Linked DNA regions of Oryzias latipes. Each later gene encodes a partner of the first gene's protein in a complex. Links are inferred from orthologs where the notes say so. Each region holds a gene or a part of one and is shown on either strand. Other genes may lie near its edges.

Region 1 (9,513 bases):
CACAGACACGATTTGCTCCGTTCACCGGCGCAATGGGGACGAAGCGCTCCTCCTTGAAGCCGCGCTGGCCAGAGCTGTCGGAGTAGATAGGAAGGGGAGACAAGGGGAGCGCGCGGGAGCGCGGATGCGTCGAGCCATTCTGCAGGCTGCAGCCAGGGCTTACTCGAGGCGTCCGCGGAGCAAGTGTTTGTTGTGGAAGGAAACTTCTGACCCACGCGCCGCGAGGAGGCGCGCGCTTTTCAGTCGTCGCTACTTTATTTTACTAGCGTGTTTTTTAACCAGCCCTGTTACTCCCATAACGCTGCCGCGACACAAGCGGAAGGAGAGCTTTACCCGTTCACCCCTCCATGCACTGCTGATACTTGCTCATTCTTAAACACGTACAACAGAATGGCGAGCCGGGCGTTGGCCCCGCCTTTAGCCCCTAAGACTCATGGGAAATGGGGGATCGGGGATGTAAATTTCCTCATTATAACTGAGGGATGTAATGTTGATTATATGGTTACTGTTTGTAATTTTATGTGTGATACCTAGATTGTCAATAAGTTAAAAAAAATAAAATAAAATAAAAACCATAACTGAGGAACTTGTGAACAGAATAGAGGTGCATACTGTTTGGCAGATGCAGATAGACTCAAGAACATGAGCCTGAGGCAAAACTGACTCCACCTACTGTGTGCTAATGAATCACACTTACACTCTGAGTCAGGAAGTGATCCGTCAGGATGACAATGTTGCCTAATTCATGCGGCTTGAACCCCGGCCGACGCGGCTTGTGTATGTATAAAATTAGTTAAACACGTGAAAATGGGTGGGTGCGGCTAATAATCGGGTGCGCTTTGTAGTCCGGAATTTACGGTATTTAAGGGGCGTGAAGACTGGACTCTGGAATAATGCAGAAGAAGATTGGGAAGTCGGATGAGTCCAGATTGACTCTGTTCAAGAGGAATCAGAGCGTTGGGGCAAAAAGGGGGGCAGATTCACCCATAAAAACGATAGCCAATCACACACAAGGCTTTGCTGTGATTGGTGCATCTGCTCTGGTAAAGGTTTAGCAATGAGACCAAACAGCAGAAATCGAACCATTCTTTTATACGAATTTTAAAATAAGTCTGCTTTTTTTGCTTTTTACTTTATCACAAAGCAAATAAAATCAGCACAGGTCAAATTCAATGTTTTTGCAAATACAGTAATAAAATGCCCAAATGTGAGGTTTGGATCTCACGGTACCTTCTTAGGAACACTTCTGATCTCCAGACACCAGGTGAACAGGAAGAGGAGGGAAACATTTTGGGGGATGTGTGGCGGCACATGAGCACCTTCGGGGGAGAAAAAGACATTTGTTTTCCAAAAACGTTTTTTTCTTTAAAAGACGAGTTTAAAATAAAAAAGAAGACACCGTTGCCTTTTTTCTTTGTGTCTTTTCTCAAAGCCACATGGACGCGATGGTCCCTTCGATCTTTAAGCCCCAGTCTGCAAAGCATGTAGTCCACCTCTTCCGCCCTATTTGGGCAGAGCACATCCAGAGAATCCCCGGGCTGGTAGGTCAATGCTGGGCAAGTCTGGAGTTCAAAATGGGGGTCAAATTATGAGAATATGGTCTAAATGTTCAGAACTCCTATTTAAACCATTTTCTGAAACCTACAGAAATGTCTAGCTCTAGTAGGAGAGCTGTCTTAACAGAGTCTCCTCTGCTTAGCAGAACTGCCTTAGATATGGGAACCTCATGGAAAGTCTCTTTTAGCGGTCCAACATTCTGAAATAAAAGATTCAACATGAGAAGAATTAGGAATGAAGGAAAGCATGAACTTTTTTTCTTTAATTTGCAGCATTCATTACCTGTTCTGGGGCATCCACCTCCACCAACGTAACATCCAAAAAGGGAGGGGGCAGAGCGGGAACATTAAGAGAAGACTGGGAAAGCGGCGGCACAGAGTTTGTCAGGGGAGATGACGAGGAAATGTGGGGAATCCCCTCATCCTTTGTCTGCATAGCATCATTCTGGGATACAAACTCAGTCCTTCCTGAAAAAGTGCTTGGGTTTTGACCAGAAGAGGTAGATGGAGCCGAAGGCACATTATGAAAGTCCGTTTGAACGGCTTCCTGGCTCCGCTGATCAGTGATGCTTAACAGGTTTAGCTGCACATCCGGTTGGGTTAAACCCAGAAATTCCTTTGCTGAATCTTTCACGTTCGCTTCAGACTCATCATTCCTCACGGAAGCCATTTTAGATGAAGCCTCTTTGACGGCTTTCCAAAGTCCTTCAAGCCACGGGTCCACAACCAGTTCCAACCTACAGATATACAAAACCCACATTTTACAAAAGCAGTAGTAGTAAAAAAAAAACATTGGAAAAAGCTAATTACTGGAATTTTAAGGCCATAAAGTTTCACTTAGGCTGGAAAAAAAGAAAAATGTCAGATTTCATACTGACCAAACCACCTGAAACCACTAAAGACACAACCAAAGCAGCTCTGCTTTTCCTCTAACCATCATTTCATGATACATCTCCTCGCTACACCACATTTTCCCAGCCCCGTTTTCAGCCCAACCGAGGTTTGCTTGATTGGTCTCCACTACAACTCACAAGAGCTTTTACACTTGTCTAGAAAAGGGGATTCTCTGGAGGAGACTAAACAGCCTATTGTAAAAGCAATGTAAGTATTTTGCAAGCATTCCGACATGCATGTTTTCCTGGCAGAACCTACCCCACACCGTCATCTGCGAATCCAGCTGGATAGAACTGCCTGGCTCCGAGTGCCTGCAGTCTACGCTCAATTGTCTTCCCACAGTTGCAGAAATTAGCATAATTTGTGTCTCCTAAAGCTGATACGGAAAATAAAACCAGATTAGGGTTAAGCAGCAACCTTTCAAAAGTTAAATTATAAGCAAAGCATTCGAAAGTTTAAACATGAATTGCAACGTCTAGGATGATTGTTTTAAATAGCAGAAATCGATCATGTAATTAGAATTTACCCAAAAGTGTATAAGAAAGGTGTTTATAGTGGTCGGGAGATTGGTTCTTGTTGATTCTCTTGACAAATTGGAGCGCGTTGTCGGGCGGTTCCCCATCGCCAGTGGTAGAGACGACAAAGACTACAGGGGCGATCTCTTTCTCCAAATTGTACTGTAAAAGATTAGATCCATGAGGAAACAAACACACAATCAGCACAAAAAGAGGGATTATTATTACTGAAGAAGTAGAATTTTTCAAGGTGGAAGCTGTGCGATCTTGAGATATGTGTTGATGCCACCTTCTCGTCTTGGTTTAAACAGCTCAGTTCAGCAACCAACCCGTGGTCCTCTGCCTCTTCAGCAATCCCCTCTGCAATGGACTGGGCCTGGCCCTTTTGAGAGCCGTACAGGACCACAAACCGAGATTTGGTCTCACAAGGCATGCTACAAAACAAAGAGAAATAATAATGCTTTTTAGAGTTTACAAAGACATTTACGTATTTTGTGGTTAATGTCATTAGTAACATAAGTACAGTAACGGGAGTATTACGTCATGTGAACTAACCAGAATCCACAGATACCAAAATAAATATATTATTTCTATTTCTCACAACAAGAAAGTAAATAACAATAAGTAAAACAATAATACTGTCACTTAAGTCAAAGGCAACAGTTACTGCTAGATGGACAATTCAATTTGGATTATCCTCTGAACTGGAAGTGATGGTCTCGCTTACCAATATGCGTGGAAGAAGCAGGCAGGACAATAAAAGTGCCTTAACAGTGTAATGAAACACTTTCCTCCATCATGACACCACCATAACAGTGCCCGGATGTTGCGTAACGTATTACGTAGCCAGAAGAAATCATAACGCCCCACGTGAAACGTTTAAACTTTTACTGTCTCACAGCACTAAATCAAAACTAAACCTTGAGGTAGTAACTTTAAATCGCGCTGCAATGGAGAAGTAGGAATAATATCAACCAAGAAGAATCCCGGCTCGATCACGAAATTACATTTGGGAACCTTATTAACTTCATCTTGTGTATCGAACATGTAAAAATACCTTGTGGGAAAAAAAACATTTCTGCATCAGTCGTGTAAACTTTTCAGACATATTTACCTTCGCGTAGCAGCTCATTTAATTCTAGATCCACTCCTATGCCAGCCACTCCACTCATTGAGATCTCGCGAGACTCTAAACAAAAAAAAAACACAAACGTAATCGGCCCGAACCAAGTTGGAAATTATATTTTTAGCTTAAGCACTAAAACTATTCCTTATTGCAAGTTTATATTTGCATAATTTATAAATAAATTACATTGAATTTTAATTTTTTATCTTGACATGATGAGGTATTCAAACATTTAGAAAAGGTTTTTTGAAAGTATTTGGTTCCGCCCTCCCCGTCCGTGGAGCCTTCCAGAAGTACCGGCAGACTCGTGCTCAGCCACGCTCCAGCTAAAACATCGGATAAACTAATCATACAGTAGTTAAACTCTCGTGGAGTATTTTCTACCCAAGTCAAGATGTCCACATTAGGGACACTGGCGTTTGATGAGTATGGGAGGCCTTTCATCATCATTAAAGACCAGGACAAGAAGACTCGGTTAACGGGCATTGACGCATTGAAGGTACAATGGGCTAGCTAGTGAAGCATAAACCTGGTGGTGTGATGACCTGCAAATGTAACATGTGTTGCTTGTAATAATAATATTTAAGGCCTACATGTAAATACGTATTTGACCCTTTTATTTGGAGTCATTTTGTCTTCTGTTGTAAATTTGTAGCGTGATAGCATCTATGTAGTTAACGCGGATTAGCCAAAAATGCTAATGCGGGCCCATGTGGTTTTAGCTAGCGGGGTGTAGCTGCTCCCAAAAATGGTAATCAGTGACGCAGATCATTAACATATTTGAAGTACACACTGCAACGTCTTAAGATAAAATATAGGTAAAAGTTGTATCATGATTCCACGTTAATATTTTTATGTTTTGCAGTCTCACATCATGGCAGCCAAGGCGGTCGCTGGAACGCTCAGGACATCTCTGGGTCCTAATGGTAATTCTGAAATCATAGTGTGTGTCAAATCTAAAAGCAGCACAGACAAATGCAGATTGTAATGAACTCTTTCTTCATTTTTCATTTTTGCATGCAGGTCTTGACAAAATGATGGTTGACAGGGATGGGGAAGTAACTGTCACCAACGATGGAGCCACTATCCTCAGTATGATGGATGTTGACCACCAGATTGCTAAACTTATGGTAGAGCTGTCCAAGTCTCAAGATGATGAGATCGGCGATGGGACTACTGGAGTAGTAGGTATGTGGCTTGTCAAAGATTGTAGGATTGCATTGGTTATACTTTTTTATGAGATAACTGTTGCTTTATTTATTTGTAATCTTTCTTAGTGCTGGCTGGAGCATTGCTGGAGGAGGCTGAGCTGCTGCTGGATCGTGGGATCCACCCCATCAGGATCTCAGATGGTTATGACCAGGCTGCACGGATCGCCATAGAGAAGCTGGACAAAATTGCAGAAACCTTCCCCTGTGATCCAAACAACTTGGAACCACTCATTCAAACTGCCATGACAACACTGGGATCCAAAGTGTAAGGGAGTTTTTTTTTACAGAAAATGTGTTGCTTCTTCACAGCATGTTTTGTTAAACCTTAATTAAGACTTTATTTCTGTAATTATGGTTATAGTTTTCAAACACAAAAACTAAGCACAATTTCTGATCTGCTATAAACTGTTGTGTGTTCTAGTATCAACCGGTGTCACAGACAGATGGCAGAGATCGCTGTAAACGCCATCCTCACTGTGGCTGACATGCAGAGGAAGGATGTCGACTTCGAACTCATTAAGGTGGAGGGCAAAGTGGGAGGGAAGCTGGAGGACACACAGCTCATCAAGGGAGTTATTGTTGACAAGGAGTTCAGCCACCCCCAGATGCCCAAGGTATGAACGGAGTCTTAAATGGATTCTCAGGAAACTGCCTAATGCCTTTTACCTCTCTGTAAGTAGACAGATAAAAGGTCAGTTTGAAATTGATTTCACATCCTGGTAACTAAAAATAAAAAATAAAAAAAAATACATATCTCTTTAATGAAACACTTTATTCTAGGGACAATTATTGTTGCCACAGTTAAGAACGCTTTTTTTCTCTGAAATGTTTTCCTTTTTGTAACTTAGGAACTGAAAGATGTCAAAATTGCCATCCTAACCTGCCCCTTTGAGCCACCTAAACCCAAGACCAAGCATAAGCTGGATGTGACCTCTGTGGAGGACTACAAAGCCCTGCAGAAATATGAAAAAGAGAAGTTTGAGGAGATGATCCAGCAGGTCAGTAATCAAAGAATCTGTTGGCTACTTGATTATCAGCAAAGTATAAACAATATTAAATATAGAAGCAACAAAAATAGTGATGTGCGGGGTTCTTGTTAAAATGCAAAACATACAATTGTTTTGCGTTTAGGTCAAAAGCAACGGTGCCAACTTGGCCATCTGTCAGTGGGGCTTTGACGACGAGGCGAACCACCTTCTGCTGCAGAATGAGCTGCCTGCTGTGCGCTGGGTTGGAGGACCTGAGATCGAGGTGGGATGCTTTACATGCTGTGGAACCTTTACAGTTCTACTTTTGTTAGCCACCTTCAAACTTTAATCTTAATTCACATTATTTTGTTGTCATTCCTGCAGAAAACTTACTTTTACCAATAAAGTTGTGACACATTGCAGAATAAATGGCAGTTATAAACAGCTAGAGCTATAAAGCGGTCAAAGTTGAGAATGTTAATTTTCTATGATGTGAAAAATCTTCCAAAAATGTCAGTCAAGTGGGGATAAACCAATTGGAAGTTTTTTGCTTGTAAAATATTTAGAATGGAAGGTTAAGCCGTTTGTGCAGACACAAAACCATAGTAAAAATAAATTTAATCATATCAGATTGTTACCTGATGTCAAAACAAACATGTCTACTTCATTCCCATTGTAAGCTACTTCCACATTTCTATCATAGACTGCTTTTTAGTAGATGAAAGTAGTTGATCTTTTGTATTGGGGGGCGGAAACTGTTGTTAAAAAAATGTCATATTTGGTGTTGATGTTTCAACACAAAGTTTGTAAAGAAAGTTCACCTTCTCTGAAACCTGCTCTGGCAGTTGATCGCCATCGCCACAGGAGGTCGCATTGTGCCGCGGTTCAGTGAGCTGACGCCCGAGAAGCTGGGCACAGCTGGTTTAGTGAAGGAGCTCTCCTTCGGCACCACCAAGGATCACATGTTGGTTATTCAGGAGTGCAAAAACACCAGGGCTGTAACCATTTTCATCCGTGGGGGCAACAAGATGGTTAGTCTGTCTTATCACTCTCACACTTTTTTTTGTGTGTGTGTGTGTGCTGGGGATTATTGCTAATTCTCTGTCTTTCCTACCAGATCATTGAGGAGGCCAAGCGCGCGCTCCACGATGCTTTGTGTGTAATTCGCAATTTGATCCGAGACAACCGTGTTGTTTATGGGGGTGGAGCCTCAGAGATCGCATGTGCCCTGGCGGTAAATCGGGCTGCAGATAAGGTGAGACTCTAAAGTTGATGTTTCAGACCTGGCAACCCATTTCTGCTTCAAATGTCGCAGAGTTATATCTTTTGTAAATGTTCTGTTTCAGTGCCCATCATTGGAGCAGTATGCCATGCGGTCGTTTGCCGATGCTTTAGAAGTCATCCCAATGGCTTTGGCTGAAAACAGCGGACTGAACCCCATCCAGACCATGGCAGAGGTCCGAGCCAGACAAGTCAAAGACAACAACCCTTTCCTTGGCATTGACTGTTTACACAAAAACACCAACGGTAAGAGCAGGTTGTGGTCAAAAAGCTACCAAAATACCTGGAACTAGTATTGAGAATCTGTTTCTGTTCTTTTCTAAAGACATGAAGCAGCAACACGTGATCGAGACTCTGATCGCCAAAAAGCAGCAGATCTCCCTGGCTACCCAGGTGGTCAGGATGATCCTGAAGATCGATGACATCCGGAGCCCTGGAGAGACCGAGGAATGAAGTCGACACTTGATGTTCTGAAACGCTCGAGGTCTTTGGCACTTCCTCAAGCTTCATGTTCAAACCGCACCGCACATTCGTATTTATCATTTGGTACTTGTTCCAGCTGTTGTAGTATCAAAGTCAACAATAAAATGTTGATCTAATCGAATTTCAGGAGTCTTCAACTGTGCTTTAAATAAAATAAACTCTCTTGTCCTTCTGTCTGCATCAGATCATTTCAAACATTATCCCAAAGAATTTTTTATTTTATTGACATTAAGATGTTCGTTCTTTAGAAAATAAAACTTTGAAAATGATAACATGGAGAGCGTTTGCATGTTAGCCATATTTCAACCACTTCAGTCATCTTGTCAACTATTTAATGCATATGTGTTTAGGACAGTTAAGAAAAAAAACATTCAATTAGGAGCAATTTTTACAGAATCTCGTAAGTCGATGCTTATTTCTTTCATTGGTTTCTATATTGCGAATGTCTTCAGCAGTATTTGTTGAGCCAGTTCAGCATGTCTTTTCTTGCCTCCTGGATGTACGGTTTGTCTGCCGGGTTGATGTCTTCTCTCTTCCGGTGGACGAAGCCGTGAGTTTGACCAGGAAATATTTTCACCTGGTGCTCTACGGTACATTTTTCCTTCAGCTTCGCCTCTAGGGCATTCACCTTCACAGAGCAAGTAGAATAATTATAAAATGAAATGGAGAAGTTAGGCCTAAGTGTCACTCAAAGCACACACACCTGGTCAAGAGGGATAACCTGATCCACCTCTGCAAAAATGAACAGAGTGGGGCTCTTGAGGGCGTACCTGTCCTCTCTTTCTCGAACTATTCCTACGCAGAAAAAACAAAACATTCAAATTAGTGCCGTCATTCGAATAATTAATTTATGACCTGAAATTAATCTATTTTTTTAATTTGACCTAATAATTGCTGTGAAAAGACTCATTTTGAGATCTTTTTATTTAATTTTGTGACATCGTGGTGCAGTAGAACAATTTAAAAAGCGGTTTTATGACGTTTTTTATAACAGACTTCTTCCAACCTTCCCTTTTATACCACCAGGGGGTATTTGTCAATCTAAAACAAAAAGAAAGAAAAAACAATACAGCAGGTCCAGAGTGCTCTAATTGAACAAATCAAAAAAGCAGTGTGAGGCGCTGAAGCCTTTACCATGACAACATGTCGCACTGCGTATCAAATAGTCTGCTTTTAGGGAAAAAATAAACCTAAAACGATACGATTAAATGATTAATAATTGATTACATATTTATTTCTTTTGAAAGTGACCATAAAAAGCAGTAGAATCCCCTTCGAGGTGTCCATTATCAGAAATTCAGAAAAAAATAATGAAAACTGACACCTCGTCGGGATTTATCCCTTACTTAATAGATATGCGTTATAGATAAAAACTGAGATTAATTTAATAAAAAAACACGCTTATGTCTCTTCAATAATTTATCAGGATTAATGCGATTATTTGAATTCCAATGTCATTTAAAGGCTTCACTCAGAAAT
Region 2 (8,461 bases), on another chromosome or scaffold:
TGCATGTTGATTGAATGATTTAAAGCGCCTAATTGAAAAGATTTTATGGAATCCAAATCATAAATCCATGGAGAACTTCTCGCTTTCCTTGTGAAGGAGAAAATGTGATCATACTTTTACCACCAAGTAATAAAATGCACAAGTATTGGAAGATACTTTAAAGAAACACATTTTGTTTCCGCTTTTTTACATTTATGACATCCAAGAAAGTTTATGCTTTTGCATTAAAAATGTGTCACATGCTATGTTACATATACAAACACACGCACACACAATTAGAGCTTTAAATGTGTGCTTTGTTGGTGTACAACCCTACAGCCATTTTGCTTTTATGATGACATATGTCCATTAAAAATCAAGCTTTTTTTAAGTTTATTTTTTTAGTTTAACTGACTTACCTGTATTTGCTTCTGTGGTTGTGATACATGAGTAGCAGCTGGCAGCGCTTTATCCCGAGGGCCCCGGGACTTTTCGCTGCCCAGCGAGCTCATCATATACAGTATATACAAAACTCTGTATGTACAAAATAGAAAAACCTGCAAAAACAAAAAAGACAAGGCACAAATTTTATCATCGGACTGTAAAATAACTCAAAATATATTTATTTTTACATTACAATAGCCCGAAACGTTCGCATCAAACAAATGTTGACCTTGTTAGATCTGATTGATTTGCTTAGCCTATCAGCTTTGCAAAAATCTGTGCCAAAAAGGAGGAGCAGTCACTGTTCTACCAGTATAAACCAGTCTGTTAGAGAAGCAGAAGAAAAAAGACTACAGACCCTAACATCACACCCTTTTTTACTGGTTGTAAATCTTAATTAAACACAATTTAAACTCTAAAATATGCTAAATCTATTTTTTTTTTTACATACTCGTGTATGTACATATATACAAATATAACCAAGAAATTTTCAAATAAATGCAAGACATTGGTTTTTATTATTGTCAAACTATATAGCAAAGAAAGTGCGCCAGACGATGCCATATAATCTTCCACTATGGTGTGGATTGTCATAATAGGTCTCGATTCCATTTATTGACCCATTTATGACGTGTCAGAGAACAATGGCAATCCAGCTCTAAGGTGACGTTGACAAATACGAAGCTGCTATTGGCTGCCGAGCTGAACAAAGCTACGGCAACAAAAAAATCCTTTAATAAACAGAATTTCAGCAACATCATTTTATAAATGAAAAGGGTCAAATCTACGTTTCTGCAATCCAACACAGTTTCACAGAACAAATGTAGGGTTATAAAAATATACACAAATAAATATGATGACAGTCGGAGGACTCAAACAATAACAAAACAACCATTCAGCGGCTATAGTTTTTGTCAAATCAAAGAAAAAAATATTAAACATTAAATTTAGCGTCACTGCGACGATAAGACTACATGTGAAAGATTAAATAAGAATAATACACTATCCTGTTGAAAAAAAAATCCCCAAAGCGTTGTTTTGAGTGAATGCTAACATTAGCTTGTTGTTATGTCTCTCGTTTCCAGAGTCGATATAAGATAACTCTGTGACTTCCAGCTCCCAAAACAAAGTCACTAAACGTTTAAAGTGTCTCCAACATACTGTCAATTAAACATCGACTGACTTTTCGTCGTTCGCAGAGCGCTCCGTTTTGTTCTCGCTAGCATGAAGTTAGCCGTTCCGTGCTACAGCGGACACCGAAGCGTTGATCTTGGAACAAACGATGCAGCAGGAGAGATGCTAACGATGCTATCTAAATCTGGTCCAAGTTGATAGCCATTGCCAACGGCCAACAAACTACCGTCATACAGCGCCTCATATTATTCGAGCGCCATGATTTTTAAAAGCGGAGAAATTGAGTTAATACCGAGAGCTGAAGGAAACCACCAGGAGTGAATGTATTGTTAACAAGAAAAAAAGGCCTCGCGGTGCGAAATCCTATCCCGACATTGCTCGCCGGGAATCAAGACAACAGGAAAAACGGTAAAGGTTTTCGAAAACCCCTCGTGAAGCGAACGAACCCAGACGACGAGTAACTATTCCACTCAAATACAGTTAACCACAATGTTTACACGATTAAAAAAATCACTTCGACTAAAGTTAAGATTAGCGGAAAAATGTGTGTTTTTGGTACCTGCTAACACGCCTCTCGGCCAGCAGCAGACAAGGTGGTCACGTGACTCGCGCTGCCTCTGTGGATGCTCCGCTCTCATCTGCCGCGCTTACTCAAAGATCACAACTGTCAGCAACTGCGATGAAGAATTACTGCAAACTATGCAACGCATCGGATCTCTAAACACAAAGGCCCCTAAAAAATAAAAATCACAATTTAAATCGAATCACACATCACGTTACAATGATATATGTTTTATTTGTATTATTTGCTTATTTCTAAGAACGGCGCACCCCCCCCCCCCCCCCCCAGCTGTTAATATTTTAGAATATTTGCACTTTCAGTCATTTGTAAAAACACTCACAAGGCGTGTATAAAAAATGTATCACCAAGTAGACATTAATGAACACCCTTTCCTCAGACATATACATAAAATATATGCACTTGTCCTTAAGCATTTTACAGACACATTGTACACACACACCTGTATATAAAATATGTTTTTTAAGAGTGAATCGATTTAATTTGCTGTGGATTTCCCGTCCCGATCATTATCACTACAAGAAGACAAAAGTTGCATGTAGAAAAAGGAAAACGATGATTACATGTGATAGTCTTTCACGGAAAGACTTGAGGAAGGCAAAAAGCAACATCTTGCCTACCCTGTCTCTACCAAACAATGGAAAATCAAAATTCAGAACTCACTCCTGGGTTCAGTGGAGTAAAAGCAAATGCATCTGTAGCTTATAAATCCATGTTCTCCTTGTATTTATACCAAGCTGAGCCACTACAATTCCTCTCACAAGTTCATGTGGGTCTAAATCCATTGATCAAATGTTTTTCTTTTACCGGTAGTCATTAATAAAGCTGTTTTTTTTTAAAACCTAGGCAGAGTTCTCAAGGAACAGCAGTTTTAGATAATGGAAAACCAAAGAGATCACACCAAACACAAAGCAAAGGGCAAACAGGAAACACTCCTTTCAAAAAATGATGCAAATTATACAAATGAAATTGACAGAAAAGAGGGGGAGAATAAATACAGAGTAAAGGGGTTATTATGAGGGGTGTGCCTGTCAAAGCCCAGTCAAAAAAATAAAAATAAAGTCATAGAGCAAGAACCAAATTGCATCTACCAATCAGAAGGATCCTCCTCTTCATGCAGATGAAGGGGAGAAGCACAATTTCTCGTTTTGATTCCAACAGAAGAGTTCCTTGTGTTTTCCTTTCTTTTTTTTGCTTGCAGTCCAACCTGTAAAAATTCTGTCAAATGTCCAAGTCCTACAAAACGAAAAGTCTCTTCCATCCCTCTGGCCTTTCTCCCTCTTTTTTCTTTTAATGTAGTTGATTTAAGTGAGTAAAAGTGAAAGAATGGATACAAAAAGAAAAAAAAACATCACTTGTTTAATCACAGGAGAAGCATTTGTTTCCTGTGTACAAATGTAAATACCAAAGAACACAGCCTAATCCCTGCAGATTGGATGTATACATGACGGTAAAAAAGTTTACTTTTATTCTTAATGTTTTTCAAACCCCATCTGAGTTTCTCAGTGGCACACTTAGCAGCTCTTTAATTTATTAGGTAACTGTACATTTGTATAAATTACTTAAAAAGCGGGAAAGTGCGTTAGGACAGCGATGTAGAAAAGTATGATGTAAATAGAGACACAAACACAGACGACAATCATATTGAAAGGAGGAAAGATCATGCTCCTGAGTCCACGTGTGGGCTGAACGCCCTCCTAAAGCAGGAGGAGGAGGTTTTCTGGACAGTGATGTAGATGAAGTTGAGGGAGGCCGAGGGATAGGATAGGTAGAGCTGAAGGAGAACTTTGTGACGGATCGATGGGAGAAGCTAACTCCACAGGCCTGCGTAGTTTCCGTGAAGGCCTGAACAGAGCGGGCCGCCGGCTACAAAGAGCTTTGTGCCGGAGTCGTCATAGCAGTGGGTGTACACGGCGTTGGGAAAAGAATGAATATCTGAGAAGTAACTCCTCCATGTTTCATCGTGGTTCTGCACAAAAAAGAAACAAGAAAAACCCTGACTATTTCTGTCATCATTTATCATCATTCATCAGGGTAATATTTCATTGAGAATATCCTTTTTTTTTTTTAGCTTTTAAACAAAAATTCTTCATACCAGCCAGCCTTTTCCTGTTGAAAGCTTGAGGATCCCATCAGCGGGACATTTCCGACACACATTGGTAGGACTAAAAGGGTTCTCCAGGAATCTTTGAGCCCGAATATCATAGAAGAGAAGGGAACCCTGGCCGGTCCCCACTGTCACAATGTGCTCATAGAAACTCACTGAACGGATCCCTGGAAGGGAGAAGACGCACACATGTTAATATGGCAAATCCCTCCACTTATACAGAGGGAAACATCTCATTCTGTTTCATACCCAAACATCTTTATTTAATATTTACCAAAACAGATCAACAACTGTCACATGCTTGTGTTTCTAATCTGCTCTGGATTTTCAGATGACTTACCACTGCCTCTCTCTCTGGAACTAACAGACTTGATGCTGTGTGTTGGCTGGCGTGGATCCAAGAAGGAAACATGGGCCTGAGAACCCACCGCATAAACCGACCAGTCCTGGCCGTACGCTAAACACACATTCTCTTTGGAGTGAGGCAGCTTGGTGGACAGAATCTGCACAAATCAGTGTTAAACCATACATTAAGAACAGGCACCGCTTTCATGCAAAACTGACACTGAAATATTAACAATTGAAATTAATCAATAAAAAGTTATGGTTGATTTAGTTTACCTTGAACAAGTTATGCTCTGCTTTCCAGAGGTGGAAATAGCCATCCAAAGACACAGCACCCAGTTCCTTTGAAAGGAGAAAAAAAGAGCTGATAAATCAAATAGCTGAAGCATAAAGAGAAAAACCCAAAGCAATGTAATTATAATTCACCATAAATCCATAAACTTCACTAATTCCTAAACATGAAATAAAGGTACAAATACTTTTCTTTGATACAAATAAAAATGGTCATACTTTCCAAGAAGTAATGAATTGAAACAGGATGGCTCGACTCTGATAAAGCATTATTGGTAGTAATGCATTATAATTCCAGAGATTTGTTGTTTCTGCACTAATTAGACAGAAGAGCAGCCTTTACAATAAATGTACCTAAATATAGCATAGTATACCTCAGGATGAAATTCTACTATGTTTAAATAGTTTGCACTTTACCTGATCAGAGATAATTATGAGTTGAAAGCGAGTTACGTTAAAATCTAGAGGAAATTAATTATAAGTTTGTTTGTTTTTTTGAATCATAAATGAGAGAACCTGTTGAGTTTTTTCTCTGAAATCGTCATAATTTGACTCACTGTGGCATAAACCTTCATGCGTGTAGGAGGGCTGGGTGATATGGCCTAAAAATAACACCTCAAATAACAGCAGAGATTTTTCTCCCTCCCTTTACAGTCTCAAACAAGTTACAAATGATAGAGCACATTTCACAAAAACGTTGTTTTTTTTTTTTTTTTTTTTTTTTTTTTTAACATCTCCTGTGGGAGATGACCTGAATAACAAACCAGTTCCATAGAACTGAAGAAAACTAGCTCCTCCTTATTCGTTGTAAATTTTAACGTCTGCACGTTGCTAGAGTACGACAAAGTTTTAGGGCCATCAAAAGAAGTGTTTGAAAGCTCATTTGTTTGATTTACGTTTTTATTCCCGTTTTATTTATCGATTGGCGGCTTGCAGGATCTCTGCAGCCCGTTGATGAAGCCATCGGTGTCCCTGCAGCTGTTCACTTCAATCCCTTCTTCCTCCACGAAACAAAGTCTCTAGGCATGTGTGACGCTTCCGACTGAGAAAGTGCACTTTCAGGCTTTTTCAATGCTCTTATGTTGATATAACCGGCTATTCATCTTTGTTGTTTTATGTTGAAACGGGACGTTTCATCTGGAAGGGGTGTATGTAACAATGTTTACCTTCCGCTTTAGTGTTCTGCGCGTGACAGGTTCATGACGCAAGGTGACAGATGGACTTCTGGTATGGGAATGAAAAGGAAAATAAAGTTGCGGTCCTCTTCACCCTAACTTGTCTCTGAGCTCCTTATTCTACATATAAACTCCGTTTCACCGACACCGAACCCCGGAAAGCCGGCTACACTAATAATAATCTGATTTTGAGTCGCCAAACGGTCCACTGTGTGGGAACTTCTTTGTTTTTGAAACCTATCCGGAAATAAAGCTTCACAAAATGCTCCACAGCTTTCATCTTCAAGCTAGGCTTCGATAAAGAGACAACTATGGCGTTTTTTTCCTCGTTAATTTATGACTTTTTTCTCTCGTAGATGTACGTGGAAAAAAATGTATTCTTGAAATTTAACAGTTAGGACTTTTTTCTGGAAAATTTACGACTTAAAAGTTGTAATTTAAAAAAAGAATTGTTTGTCAACTGGCCCTAAAACTCTGTCCAAAGAGAAAGACCAGCAGGCTGACCTTACTACGAACAGCGGAAGCCCGAGGGAGGAGGATGCCGGGAAAAAAACAAATCCCAAATTTTCCTAAAAAAAATCCATAGTGTGTAGATGTTCAGACTGCACACTGACAGATATGCAAGTGAAAAGGTTCTATGAGCTTATTCTTGTCTGTCTTATGTGTTATTTCAGCTCTGGCAGCAGAAATCTATTGTCCTGTGGGACACAGAGTGACCATGTGATGAGAGTTCAGAGATAATAAAACACACTGTGGTTTATTATTGTGTTGAAGATTCTGGACTCCTCTGAACAACAATTAATCGCATAGTCCACTATGTAAAGTAACCCATAGCAACAGCACAAACATGTTATCTTGATCAGTAAATATGAAATATTTATATACTGTACGAAGTATTGAATTTGCTGGAAATATGGAACTCTGTAATTATTGACAGTACAGATAAACTCAATAGTAGTGAGTTTAGTAAAGGGTAAACTTCAGTACCAAGCGTAGTACTTCAATCTTCTCGATTAAACTTGCACAACTGCATATCTCGGAAGAAAATGCTCAAAATATAAGCTAATAGAAACAAGAATAACATGAATGATAGAAGCTCTTGCTACAGGAATTATGTAAACATTAAAAGAAATTGCACCATAATCAATTAACGTTTAATTCTCCAACAACGGAATGAAAGTGCTTATTTTAACCTAATCAATAGTTTGAATTTCAACTTTGAAAGCTTCGGTCTCCAAAATATTGCCAGTAAGTATAGTGCGACCATTTTTTGGATCATTAAATGGTTGCTTCCTGCATGGGAGGAACCTTACTTTATGGCTGTCGTTGAAGGCAAGAGCACGGACTTTACAGTTGTATGGGTTGGTGCACTCTTTGGGGATGTCCTTGAGAGCCCGGTGGGAGATGTGGGCGTAGGAAGGTATGTTCTCTTCACTCTGACTCCGCTCAGCCTGATTCATCACTTCCTCTGTCACTTCCCAAAGACCCATGGAGCCATCTCTGGACCCTATTTGATCAAGTCATAAGGAAAAAGGACTAGTTAGATGATGAAACGTCACAAAACCAGGGACAAGAAGAAGTGAAGCAGCCAGGAGCTGCTTGCTACTTTTAACTGTCCTTCTAGTGATGTTTTGGAGGTATTTTCTAAGTTACTACATTCAAATATACTTTTGTCTTTTGCTCGGTAACAAAGACTCCTACAACTCAGTCAAACTTACCAGAAACTGCCATGCTGTCACTGATCCATGCTATGGAAAAAATCCAGTCATTGTGACCATCCTGCAAAGCAAACAGATCGCATGTAAATCTGACAAGTGAGAGCCGAGGAGTGGTTGATTAATATTTTCACAACATTTTGATTACTTTGGTTCTATTCAGTGGGATTACAACTTCTTTTAAAAAAAATGTATGTGTTTGTTTAAATACAGCAATAAAACATCCGGAAGATAATTTTAGGCTAAACCAAAAAAGTGAGATTTTTAATGCCCATAAAAGAAGTAACTGAATGCATAGATGGTAAATAGATAGATAGTTTTTTTTTATTATTTCGATCATTCACACACAGTGAAATACAGAGGCAGTAGCCTCTGTTGGGGTAGCGCTTGCATGATGTCAGCAACTGTGATATTACGACGGAGAACTGATGAGAGCAGAATTACACAGGAGTGTTAATATTACAGAACTGCTACGGTTTATTTCAGAGCTTTAACAAAACTTCCTCTGTAAAAAGACCCAACTTAAAAACTTACAAATATAAAATAAAAAATTGTATAGTTAAAATAGTTTAATAATACAAGTAAAATACACATTTGTGGCCACAATTGGATTTAGTACAGTATGGTATTTCAAGATGCCTTCACAAATAAAAGAAAATGATCCACTTTTTAATTACTTGTACACTGATGA

Evidence for each region.
Region 2: the proteins of cct5 (region 1) and dcaf12 are in contact, whole or in part, in a cryo-EM structure (PDB 8AJM), measured with the Homo sapiens proteins. The link is inferred for Oryzias latipes from reciprocal best matches to the Homo sapiens genes CCT5 and DCAF12. Residues at the interface, in NP_036205.1 of Homo sapiens: Gly537, Glu538, Ser539, Glu540, Glu541; in NP_056212.1 of Homo sapiens: Lys91, Phe93, Lys108, His144, Trp186, Phe188, Arg203, Lys254, Arg256, Glu298, Val300, Arg344, Phe411, Tyr422, Leu440, Pro441, Ser442, Gly443.

What each region holds. Positions count from the first base shown.
Region 1 is NC_019878.2:15,261,123-15,270,635, reverse strand, and holds cct5 (T-complex protein 1 subunit epsilon), read left to right. Parts: upstream 1-4,190; 5' UTR 4,191-4,485; coding exon 4,486-4,590; intron 4,591-4,956; coding exon 4,957-5,017; intron 5,018-5,114; coding exon 5,115-5,279; intron 5,280-5,368; coding exon 5,369-5,567; intron 5,568-5,723; coding exon 5,724-5,916; intron 5,917-6,150; coding exon 6,151-6,300; intron 6,301-6,433; coding exon 6,434-6,553; intron 6,554-7,115; coding exon 7,116-7,301; intron 7,302-7,387; coding exon 7,388-7,525; intron 7,526-7,616; coding exon 7,617-7,797; intron 7,798-7,876; coding exon 7,877-8,004; 3' UTR 8,005-8,206; downstream 8,207-9,513. Other genes in the region: mtrr (methionine synthase reductase), read right to left, coding at 1,231-1,319, 1,406-1,562, 1,646-1,756, 1,840-2,293, 2,709-2,826, 2,977-3,127, 3,255-3,398; cmbl (carboxymethylenebutenolidase homolog), read right to left, coding at 8,483-8,662, 8,738-8,829. UniProt on the Homo sapiens protein: Component of the chaperonin-containing T-complex (TRiC), a molecular chaperone complex that assists the folding of actin, tubulin and other proteins upon ATP hydrolysis.
Region 2 is NC_019863.2:17,271,697-17,280,157, reverse strand, and holds the end of dcaf12 (DDB1- and CUL4-associated factor 12), read right to left. Parts: intron 7,835-8,461; coding exon 7,774-7,834; intron 7,563-7,773; coding exon 7,369-7,562; intron 4,932-7,368; coding exon 4,866-4,931; intron 4,748-4,865; coding exon 4,585-4,747; intron 4,412-4,584; coding exon 4,233-4,411; intron 4,107-4,232; coding exon 3,948-4,106; 3' UTR 2,390-3,947; downstream 1-2,389. Other genes in the region: ubap2 (ubiquitin-associated protein 2), read right to left, coding at 399-494. UniProt on the Homo sapiens protein: Substrate-recognition component of a DCX (DDB1-CUL4-X-box) E3 ubiquitin-protein ligase complex of the DesCEND (destruction via C-end degrons) pathway, which recognizes a C-degron located at the extreme C terminus of target proteins, leading to their ubiquitination and degradation.